Linked DNA regions of Canis lupus familiaris. The protein of the gene in region 3 purifies or fractionates together with the protein of the main gene of each other region. This does not show direct contact. Links are inferred from orthologs where the notes say so. Each region holds a gene or a part of one and is shown on either strand. Other genes may lie near its edges.

Region 1 (3,516 bases), on a different chromosome or scaffold from region 3:
ACTCCGGCACATAATTGGGGAGTTTGGGGGGTGGGGGGGGCAAGAGCAGCCCTCAAGCTGAGGATTCTGTACCGTTGCCACCGTGATCATAAATCACCCCATCACCCCGTTATTTGTTTAGGTGACAATCCTCTCTTCCCCGTCCTAAAATCTCCAGAGTCCGGTGTCAGTAGACAGTGGCAAACACACACCATGTAGAAGGAGAAATTACTTGGGAAAAGGAATTTGTGGTGCCAAAACAGTACTGAAGGGCTTTGCAGAGCTGCAGTCCTTTGTGCCGACATGCAGATTCCGGACTGCGCAGCCTTCACCCGCCTTCCCGGCTCTTGAGTCCCACCAGGGAAAGCTCCAGACCCGGGCTGGTTGGGAGGCAGAGCCTCAGCATCCTCCCCCGCCATAGGCTGTGGCTTGTCTCACCTCAAGGATGTCCCAGCTCCGAAGGTCAAGGAACCCCAAAAGCCTGACCCCTTGCAAAGCCACTCCCGATGGGTAACAACTACTGATCGGCTGTGGCAGGGCCTCTGAATTTTCTTCCCAATGTCTCTGCCCACCCCTCAGCACTTCTACTTCCCTCGCCAGCCCCATCAGGGGACCCCCCTGGCTGCAGACACCACTAGGTGTATCTGCAAGGGGTCCAGAAAACCGCTTTTCTTCTTCACAGAGACCAAGGAACAAAGAGGGATTTTCATCGTCAAGATGGCCTCCCGACTCCGAGTCTAGAAGTTTCCAGGGAGGCTGGTAATAAATAACAACTTCTCCACAGCCTTTTGTCCCTCTGCTGAGTTCAGGATAAAGAGCTGAAGCAGGAGGCGGGAGGCTGCGTGAAGATTTCTTGGAACACAATAGATAGAAAACACCAAACGACACGTGAGTGACTGATCGGTGGTCACAAAACAGCTTCCCTTAAAATGGGAACCAGGGCCGGGGTAAATGTGAGGGGGTTCCACAGGGCCGGGGCCAGGGGTGTTCTTCAAACGTGAAAGATCCTTCTGGTGGAAGCAAGGAGGGGCTGACAGAAGTACTGGAACCTGCGTGTAGGGGGTAAGCAGACACCTCACCCTCTCGGTTCCACATGTCCATGCCCTCCATGACCACGGGTGTTCCTTACAGTCGGTCTGTCTGGATAGATGGGAGTGGGGACTTGATCCGGTGTGAAGTGGGCTCTGCCTCAGCCTCTCCAGCAGCAGGTCACAGTCTGCGACCCGGGGCCCTAGGCTTGGCAGCCGAAGGCTGAGGCTTTTTCTTTGAGCAGTTCCCAGCACAGGTGGCAGCTCCAGCTTCCTACAAGAAACAAGATGCCCTAGTTACCAGCTGCCCTTCGCCCCACCCCTTGGCCCTCACTCCTGCAAGTGCCGTTTCTCCTTTGACTTTCACAGTTCAGAGACCGAGGCCCAGGCCTGAAAGTGGGCCAGAGTCTGTAACTCGTGGCAGAGGGTGAGCGCTCCTCAGAAAATAGTTAAGTGTTCAGAGGCGATCCACTGAACTGTTGTAAAGACCCCCACTGTCCTTGACAGCGATATAACTGGCAGCACTAGGCCTGGGCTGGTTCCCCTGGAAGCTGACACCTCCCCACCGCTTTGTCTGCATGACCAAGAAACATCTCCTTGGTCCTCAAGCTGAAATTTCAGAGGGTTGAACTGTGCCTCCATTTCCTCATCTGTAAAATGGTAGCATAGGGTTGTGATGATTGAATGAGACAAGACATGGAAAGGCCTTAGCACGAGACCTGAATGAGAGTGAGGGCTCCCTAAGTGATAGGGGTAGCTGTTGTTTCTACAGTCGACATCATCATCATTACCTTCTGGGGGCTCAGCCACTGGAGGATTTAAACAGTACATGTGATAGCCACGGTCACAGTCATCACAGAAGAGTAGCTGGTCCTGGTGGAATACAGAGTAGGTGGAGAGGAGGAGAGAGAGAATGAATTATTTAGGGCCAGTGTCTGGCCACCCCCTACTCCTCCAGCCTCTCCCATGCAGACCCACCTCCCTGAATGCTCCTTTCCAGGCCCCATTTGCAGTCTTCCCTGTCCCCTGAATATGCTTTGTGCTTTGCCCACACCTGCAAATTCCTGCTCTGTCTCCCTAACTATGCCAACCCTATCCCCACGTTAGGGTTCTGCTCAAATCATACCTCCTCCAAGAGGCCTTCCTTTACTGTCTCACATTCATGTTTAAAGAGATTCCTTACACTTCTGAACTCCCCTAACCAATAACTATGTTTCTGTAAGGGAGGAAAACCACTTTTATGCACTTCTGTGTTCCCCATAATGATTGCCTAGTGCATAGAAGGTACTTTAAATGTTTGCAAATTTTAACTGAATTCCTCCTAACCTCACCCTTTCCACCTGTGAAAAGGGCAATGGCTATACTTGACCGTAACATCTATGACACCTCAGAACCTCTTCAGGGTTTCATTATGCAAGTACAGAGAAATGGATGGGATGTGATGCCACCTTTCAGATCCCCAAAGCGTCCTCGGGGGCTGGAGGTTGAAGCCCAGGGGAGAATAGGACCCTCTAGCTCTGTGTTGAATGTTGCTCCTGCAGTTTGCACCTTCGCTCCTGCAGTTCCCTCTGCCTGGACGCTCTCCCAGTCCCTGACCCCTACTCTTCTAAACCATTCCCTACCCACCCTTCAAGTCTTCCAGCTCTTCTGTCCTACAGAAATGTCACTAATCTAGCTCAAATGGAAGTTCTCTCTCCCCCTTGCATCCCCATAGTCCTCTTTCTTTCTTATGACATTTAATTGCATTTTCCTTTATGCCTCAAAGCCTGGCATGTGGTAGATATCTACACACAATTGTTTTCTTGAATAGCTCCTTTGGAATATACTTTGTCTACTCCTTTACAGATTGTAAGGCTCTTGGGGCAGAACCTTGTCTTAACTCATCTCCACATCTCCTTCAGAACTTGCACACAGTAGCTACACGTTTGTGATCTGTTCCTCATTATCCAGGTTCAGCTCTCCTCTATTCTTTGGACCTACCTAGATGGCTTATAAGACTTTGCAAAACTAAGTTTTGCATCAAATCTCACCTTGGCTCCCCTCAGCACAGAAATCCTGGAAAAGGTAGATATTGAAGCAAGCAAGCAATAAGGCAGGAGATATCATGAAAGACTTTTTTTTTTTAATCACACTAACACCTTTCAACAGGGTAATGGAAGGTTTTTGAAGAGTTAGCAACAGAGGAGTGACTGGTCACACGTGGAATTTAGAAAGATCTCCCTAGCTGCTGTGTAAGAAGGAGCAGGTTGGGAGGAGACAGGTTGGTCCTAGAGGCTGGAAGACCACTTAGGATGCTACTACCACCATCCAGGTGAGCAGTGATAGTGTCCTAAACTAGGGCTGTGGCATGGGGAAAAGATAAGGGTCTTGTTCCCATTTGAAAGTCACTAATTAGATGTAGAAAATGATAGCAAAGAAATCAAGAATGTCCCCTAAGTTGTGGCTTGGTCAGCAAGCCAGATGATACAGCTACCCATTGAGATATGGGAAAAAGAGTAGATCTACAGGA
Region 2 (3,516 bases), on a different chromosome or scaffold from region 3:
GTTTTTCTTAATAGTTGACAAATCCATAGGCCTAAAAACAAAACAAAAACAGGTAAATGGAGGGGAAGAGGACTCAACTGGATCCAAATATATTATTATCATACATGACTTCTTAAATATGCCCTTAGTCTTAGCTGCCAGGACTGAAGTACCAACCCCTCACCGCACAACATGCACTTAATTAAAAACAAGGCATCTTTTACAGTAGGTATTGGCTAAGAATGGTAACAGAAGTCTATCTTTTGTGATCCAGCCACTGAAATGATCAATTTACCACTTTTACTCAGATCAAAAACATTTGCTTTAAACATTCTGTGTAAAGCAAAAATCCACTAAGACTGAACAACTTACAATTCAGGCAAGTCAGCATGCTGAATGGATCATGGCTTACCTCTGTACAATGCTATGGTAGCCAGGTGCTATATCATCTGTAACAGGCTGCAGGAAGACATTGGCATATCTGTCCAAAAAAGAGTAAGGTGCAATTAATTACTGACTTACCCTTCAGAAGCACAGGTAAGGGAACTTGATTTAAGTAGCTGAAGGCTGTAAAAGTCAAAGCCACCGATCCCATATAAACCCAGCCAGACTTTCTCCTAACATTGAGAAGAAGCATGAGAAACATACTGACTGGTAAAGCTCACTCACCTATGATTAGCTGCAGCTCTCCATACAAGCATGATAGCTTTCTTCCAGATTTTCTGTGCCTGAATGGCTTCCTGATCTTCACTACAGACAGAGCTGAAATAAAAGAAGGGAGTCCCACTAAGCCTAAGTCCAAAAAAAATCCTTATCATTTCTTGTGAACTATTAGTTCCAGGCCAAGAAAGGGAAGATGAAAAAAATAAGACTGAAGAAAAAGATCCTCTCCTACTTCTCACCTTCACGGTCTTGAACTCAAAGAAGAATCTCAGATACTCACAACTGTGAAGAAGCAGGGCTGCTGGGGATGGAGTCTGCCAGTGTATGGGACTGCAGTGTAGCATTGTGAATGCTAAAGCCATCATCGCTCTCGCTCACAGGTGGCTCATTATCCATTTCTGACAAATAGCCTTCTCCTTGATCTTCTTCCTTAGCCTCCTCTAGGCTGGCAGCTTCGCTGACTCCATCTTCCTCCTCATCCTCACCTGGGGCATCCTTAGACACAGTGTACTCCAGTCAACAAATGCAAGCAAAGCTATCCAGCAAAGCGTCATTAAACATGGTCTTTTGGATTAGATCAGTTCTAGAAAATGACCTCACACTGCTTCCTGACTGAGCCCTCTATCACTTACACTACCACGTACACTCACTGATCAAGTAATATAGAACCTGGACAAAGAATAAGACCAGGATCTTTTTCTTGAAAGGAAGAAAAAAAAAGCTACTTACTTAAGACTAAGCTAAGAGGCGTTCCTTCTTTCCCCTTGCTCTTGAGAGGAACTCTGACCCTGGGTACAAAGTTATCAAAAATAGTTTTTATTTTGTGTCTCCTCTGATGGAGCAAGCTCATATCACAATACTTTAAATCTGTTACCACTACTTTAGTAATTCTAAAAAGAATATTCCAGGGAATTTTCTTTGGATAGTGTAATTAATAATCTGATTTCTTCTATGTTCTCCCTGATTCTGGCAGCCCTATTTACTCTAAATCACTCTGGAAGTATCAAAGCTTTGTTGTGCATTATGTGCGAAAGAAAGCTCTGTGTGATGTTCACAAATTCTTTCAGATGGGAAGCACATGGCCATAGTACTGCCAGTATGCCTAACTGTCCACTGCCAACTTTTTTCCATGCAACTCCTTAACTAGTCTCATCTCAGAGAATCAGATGCACGTTTACTATAATTCTTTAAAAAGGTAGTGCTATTGGGAGATCTAGTCACACAGCAAGAGGAATAAAGAAAAGTCTGAAATACCTTTATCTGGCTTCCAAAAATAGTCCCTGATTCTTCTTTCAATGAGTCTGCAGAGGAGAGAAAGACTACCTGAAGATTTTTCCACCTCAGCCTTCCCCTTCCTATGGACAATCATCCCCTGCAGCTCTCCTTTCCATGCTGACCTATACTACCTCCTCTACTTTCCCACAGCCCACAATCCCTCAGAAGCCAAAGCAAAGGATGTCAAGTTAGTTACAGAGAACAGATTTCCTGGCCATATCATTTACCTGACATTTCAAACTTGTGCTGAGTCTCTGCCTCTAAAGGATCTTCGATGGGATTGGAGCCATGTGATGGAGACAACATGCTTTCAGGGGATGCCTGAAGACCAAAAAGAATAATTACCCTAAGTACAGATACATCACTTCAGCTTACACAGTGACGAGACTACAAAAGAAATTCTAAGTTTTCCAATGAAAAGACTACAAAAGAAATTCTAAGTCCTAACAGGACTAACAGGAATCTAATGGTCACCGTAAAAGGAACAGGATAAGCACATGTAGCAATCATCTTATCTGTGGCTTTGGGCGTATCAACCATGTGAGAATTCAGGAATGCAAGAAGAAAACCAAAGGCCTGAAAAGTCAGCTCTTACCTAAGGTATAACCCTTCATCCTCCCAGCCCCTGATTTTAAATACCTCTGTCTTCACAGTTGTAAGTGGAGTCTCATCGCCTTTCCCACTGGAAACATCTGCTTCAGCAATCTCTCCAGTGGCAATACTTCTGGGTTCCTCATCTAACTCTTGACTCCTGAGTTCTGGTGGCTCCATACTTGGGGCTGGAACAACTCCAGCTACTATTTCAGGACCTGAGATGCCTTGTTCTGGTTCCGCAGGTTCCATTTTAATCTCAACACTAGGCTCTCTGATGTCTACCAGTTCATGGATTCCTTTGTTTTCTGTTTCCTCAAAGTCCAGCCTTTCTTGCTTGACTGTCATCTCTGGTGCAGGAAGAGATACTGGCTTATCCCGCTCCTGCTGGATCGGGTGCTCCCAGGGGCCAGGCAGGGACTGGGGATCATCATTCTCTTCACAGAATGACAGTGCCGCTTCTACTGCTGCCACATCCAGCACTTCAGGATGATCATCTACCTGTACCATAATATATACCGTTGAAGTCCCCCCAAAAAGCAGCCCAAATCCCTCAATTCTATAAGCACCAAATGAGATAGCCTCAATCTGCATCTTCCCTCTACATGTAGTAGAAGCAACCAAAGGACAGGTACCTATCCTGTGCAAACCGAAACACAAGGATGGCTGGGGAGATGACCAATGTGAGCAACAAAGGGCTTTGGGATTAAGGAGATGGAAATGGGCAGAAGCAGAACTGTCTGTTTATGTAATTCTTACTACAAGAAGCAAGAAGAAGCTGAGAAGAGAAGCCTATGCAGAACTCACGAGAAATTCTTTTGGGCTTTGCTGAATAGTTACCTTGTCCTCAATAATGGCAATGATGTCGCCAACAGTCTCAAAGTCAAGCTCTTCACCTGTGTAAGACACAGCAATATCCATCTTCTCAGCCAGATCTAAATCTTCCTTCCCATCTATGCTGGGAGCCTTTGACCCCCCAGGGGCCTCTGCTACCCCTGATCGGAAACA
Region 3 (4,165 bases):
GCGCGATCCTGGAGACCCGGGATCGAGTCCCACGTCGGGCTCTCGGTGCATGGAGCCTGCTTCTCCCTCTGCCTGTGTCTCTGCCTCTCTCTCTGTGACTATCATAAATAAATAAAAATTAAAAAAAATAAATAAATAAAGTGGTCCTTAAATTTAGTTGGGGGAAAGTGTATAGTACATCACCTTTTAGTCATTAATAAGCACTTTAAAAATTTCAGGATCCTACCGGTTTATCTGATTTACTGTCCCCCGACCCCAAAGTTGAGCATACTATTTTTTTTAACATAAAAGGTGGCTGAAAATACTTTTTTCCGGGGTGTGAAAAAAGTTCTGCAGTCTCCAGAGTCCGAAACTCGGCTCGCTGCGCGGACACGCCGTTTCTAGGCTGTTTCCCGGGGGCTTGCGTTCGCCGCCGGCGCCTCACGGGCTCCCGCGCGCCCCGCCTGCCTCCGCGAGCCCCCCCCGCCCGCCGCGCCGGCCGCCGCGCCTCCCGCCCACTCGGGGAGCTCCGCCCAGCCCCCCTCCCTCCCGCGCCCGGGGCCAGTTCCGCAACCCAACTCCTTCCCTCCTTCCGTCGCTCTCCCCTTTCCCCGCCTCCATGGCTGCCTCCGATTGGCTGAGCTGGCCGTGCCGCGGCGGGGATGCAGCGCAGCCTCCTTCTGATTGGCTAAGGCGTCCCCGGCCCTCCCGTGATTGGCTGGTAGGAGCAGACAGCAAGTGTGGCTGAGCTCCGCGGTGTGTGGACGCTGCTTTGTTGCCCGAGGGGGGTGGCGGTGGAAGTTCGGGGCTAGGGGCTGGTGCTTCTCGGGACCCGCGCTCGCGGCCGTCGCAGTCGCTTCGCCCGGTAGCCTGTAGCGTAGGAGTCGCGCGGACAGCAGCCATGAGCGGCGGGGTGTACGGGGGAGGTGAGTGAGTGCGGCCGGACGGGAGAGCGCGCCTTTTCAGCGTGCGGGGTCTGTGACCGCCGCCCCCAAGCCTCCCCTCCCCGGCGGCCCCTTCCGGCCTCCCCCGCTGGGACCCCGGCCTCCCCGCCCCGTCCCCGCCCCGCGCTCTGCCCGCCCCCGCCGCCCGCAGCCCGCAGCCCGCAGCCCGCCCGGCGCCGCGACCGCTCCCGCGGTCCCTCCCGCGGTCCCTCCCGCGGTCCCTCCCAGCCCCGGCGCCCGGGGGAGCGCGGCTTTCGGGGTGCACGGCGGCCGCGGGCTGGGCGGGCGTTCCGTCCTGGGGGCCGGCCCGCAGAGCCCCGGCGGGAGCGGCCGGCTGCGGGCTCGCGTCCTGCGGGGAGTCTCGGGAACCCGGCTCCGTCGGGGCGCGCGCCGGTTTAAACTCGGGAGGTCCCGGCAGTTGGCAGGCGCGGACCGAGGGTTTCCGCAGCGTCCCCGAGGGCCAGGCGAGCGGCGGGGGGTGCGGGCCTCGGGACGCCCAGCTGCCTCACAGCTGCCTGTCGGCTGACTGGGCTCTCAGGGTGACTCGTGGGGACACCTGTGGCTTAAAGACCTCGTCCCTGGCGGGGGCTGTGGTGGGCTGGAAGGGTCCGCACGGGCCTGGGAGTTCCACAGACCTGGCTGCCTGTACTTCCAGCCTATTTAGTGAGCGCGTTGGCCTTGGCTAAGTAAGTTCACTTAGCTTTTCCCAACTTCGGGGCCCCGCATTTTGGGAACGACAATCCCCACCCAGTGGGGGTGGGCTTGAAGGTTCGGTGAGCTGAGCTAACGGTGCACTTGCTGCAGAAAGTGTGGTCCCTGGATGAGCAGCGTCAGCATCACCTGCGAGCTTTTTAGAAATGCAGAACCTCGAGCCCCCTCTACGCATACTGAATCGAGCTTTCATTCTTGCTACATAGGTAGGAGGCACTGGTGTATCTGATTCTGGTCTGTGCTGTGTTTGATGAGTTTGGAAAAAGAGGAGACAGATCTAAAGTGTTGCTTTTGTTATCGTGTCTAGTAAGGTTAGTGTTTCTGAAGAAGTTGGCATTTTACAGGTAAGGGATAGAAATGAGGTTCTCAAAGTTCTTGATTTTTGGAATGTAGCAGGAGTTTCTTTGGGGCAATATGCTGACCCCTCCTCCCATTCTTCTCTGTATATATTCTGGGTTTTGATTTCTCAAATGTGAGAGGCAGTAGTTGTCCCATTTTTACTTTGGAGAAAGCCTAGTGAATCTTCATGATTTACCTCCTTTCCATCTGAAGATGCAATCTTGACCCAAAAAGTGGATCTTTGTGTCTCATGGAGGCTGACTCTATTTTGACCTTTAGGTTCACTGATCCAAGTACCTAGACGCTGTCCATGATTATTTCCTTAGAAGGCATTGTTGACTATGACTGAGATAGAGGTGGATACTTATAATGCCAGCAGCAAACATTTATTGAATGCATACTTTGTACTAAGAACTGTTCCAGAGACTTTTCATGTGTTGCACTAATATGTGTATTAACTCAATCTGCAGCAGCCATAGGAAATGGTACTGCTAACTCCATATTATGGAATAAGAAAATAAGGTATGGAAAAGTTTAAGCAACTGGCCCAGAGTTACATAACTTCCTAATAAGGGTGAACAAGAATCTCTGGGATGAAGAAAAAGGCATTTCAATAAAACCCTTTCCCATCTTAAAACTAAAAAGTTTTTTGGTTGTTTCTCCATAAGTCATTTTTCAATTATATAGCGACAGCGTATTCATGTATGGTTTAGGTATTCACAATAAACATCCTGTGTCTCATTTGCTTATGGAGAGGAATATGTCTTAAAGCCTATTTCACATATAAGGTATTTAAAGCTCACAAAAATAAGTGTATGATTTTGTGTTTGAGTTACCCCTGTATGGCCAGTATTTATAGTGGGTCACATTTTCCAAAGGGTGTATGGTGAAAAGAAACCAAACCTCCCACCTAGGTTTTGTGTAATTAATTAGTAAGTTTTATTTTTAACTTGCTTGCTTATTTAAAAGACCTTTGCAGTTTAAATTTTAAAGTTTATGGCTATCTTATTCTAATAAAGATTTCTGACTAGATCTGACACTGATCTTTAGCTTTGAGTATAATGCATAATTCATTATAGAAAGATTTCTGTACTTTCTACCTGGTTTCCAGGCCTACTCATTGCTCCTAGGACCATGTTTCCATGGTTCTCCTTTATTTCAACCTTACATTATAAAAATAAATAGACCAACTTTGATAAATTGTGTTTCATCGTTCCTGCACCTGTTACCCCCAAATCTCTAACCTTAAAAATTTCTCAGAACCATCATCCCCATAAGCACCTTTGTCCAAACAAAAAAATAAAACGACCTTCCCACTTTCTCCCAAAGTCATTTGCCTTCAGTATCACATTGGAATGTTTTAAGACCTGGTTAGAAAATTGCCACCATTGCTTCATGTTTTCCCAGAGAAATTACCACACCTCTAAACTTGGAAGCCATAGGAAAAACATCAACATCCTCAGAAAAGTGAAAACAGTGTTTTAAGTAGCAAAGGGATCCAACTCTTAAGAATTTTTATCTATTGGAAACTGTATCCCGGTTTTTATATATCTGGACCTCTGCGGTTATGGTTTAAGCTTTCTATCTCCCTTTGCCATTCTCCTATTTTGGGTTCATTGGTACTTAATTTTTAACAAAACCAGGTACAGGAAATAAACCCATTTCTCATCCTTTGAAAAAGGAAAATAAGCAGATGCAAAATTCCAAGAATCAAGAGTCTCACTCAGATTAAAATTCTATGTCTAGTTTGAAAAAAAAAAAAAGAGAGAGAGAGAGAGAGAAAATAGTTTGCCATCTAATTAGGACAGAAACATAATTGATTTGTTGAATTTTTCATTTCATAAAATGTTTTTTAATGCTCGCTATGTGCCAGGCAGGTATAGCCTCTGCCTCCGAGAAGCTCAGTTTTACAGGTAGGTGAGTCAGTCACATAGACACTATATTGTATTTAGTTTTAGTCATACATTTCCCCTCCATATTTAAAGAGCTGAAGTTGGAATATTTCTCCTTTTTCTGGGGAGGTTTTTCTATTTTACATAATTAAAATAATTTAATTCCAATCTAATTGACATGGAATATTTCTTTTTTTTTTTTTTAATTTTTATTATTTATGATAGTCACACACAGAGAGAGAGAGAGAGAGAGAGGCGCAGAGACATAGGCAGAGGGAGAAGCAGGCTCCATGCACCAGG

The links. Proteins that work in one complex are often made in the same cells at the same time.
Region 1: the proteins of ACTL6A (region 3) and DPF3 purify together in Homo sapiens (affinity purification with mass spectrometry; 4 studies listed by BioGRID and IntAct, counting the BioPlex papers as one, with this or other methods). This does not show direct contact. The link is inferred for Canis lupus familiaris from reciprocal best matches to the Homo sapiens genes ACTL6A and DPF3.
Region 2: the proteins of ACTL6A (region 3) and BRD8 fractionate together in Homo sapiens (co-fractionation; 4 studies listed by BioGRID and IntAct, with this or other methods). This does not show direct contact. The link is inferred for Canis lupus familiaris from reciprocal best matches to the Homo sapiens genes ACTL6A and BRD8.

The regions. Positions count from the first base shown.
Region 1 is NC_049229.1:46,326,614-46,330,129, forward strand, and holds part of DPF3 (zinc finger protein DPF3), read right to left. Parts: intron 1,881-3,516; coding exon 1,799-1,880; intron 1,282-1,798; coding exon 1,211-1,281; 3' UTR 1-1,210. UniProt on the Homo sapiens protein: Belongs to the neuron-specific chromatin remodeling complex (nBAF complex).
Region 2 is NC_049232.1:25,855,993-25,859,508, forward strand, and holds part of BRD8 (bromodomain-containing protein 8), read right to left. Parts: coding exon 3,349-3,516; intron 3,010-3,348; coding exon 2,557-3,009; intron 2,239-2,556; coding exon 2,145-2,238; intron 1,944-2,144; coding exon 1,897-1,943; intron 1,138-1,896; coding exon 923-1,137; intron 742-922; coding exon 649-741; intron 461-648; coding exon 392-460; intron 32-391; coding exon 1-31. UniProt on the Homo sapiens protein: May act as a coactivator during transcriptional activation by hormone-activated nuclear receptors (NR). Isoform 2 stimulates transcriptional activation by AR/DHTR, ESR1/NR3A1, RXRA/NR2B1 and THRB/ERBA2.
Region 3 is NC_049255.1:13,131,551-13,135,715, forward strand, and holds the start of ACTL6A (actin-like protein 6A), read left to right. Parts: upstream 1-1,357; 5' UTR 1,358-1,609; intron 1,610-1,727; 5' UTR 1,728-1,743; coding exon 1,744-1,840; exon of another isoform or gene 1,841-1,978; intron 1,979-4,165.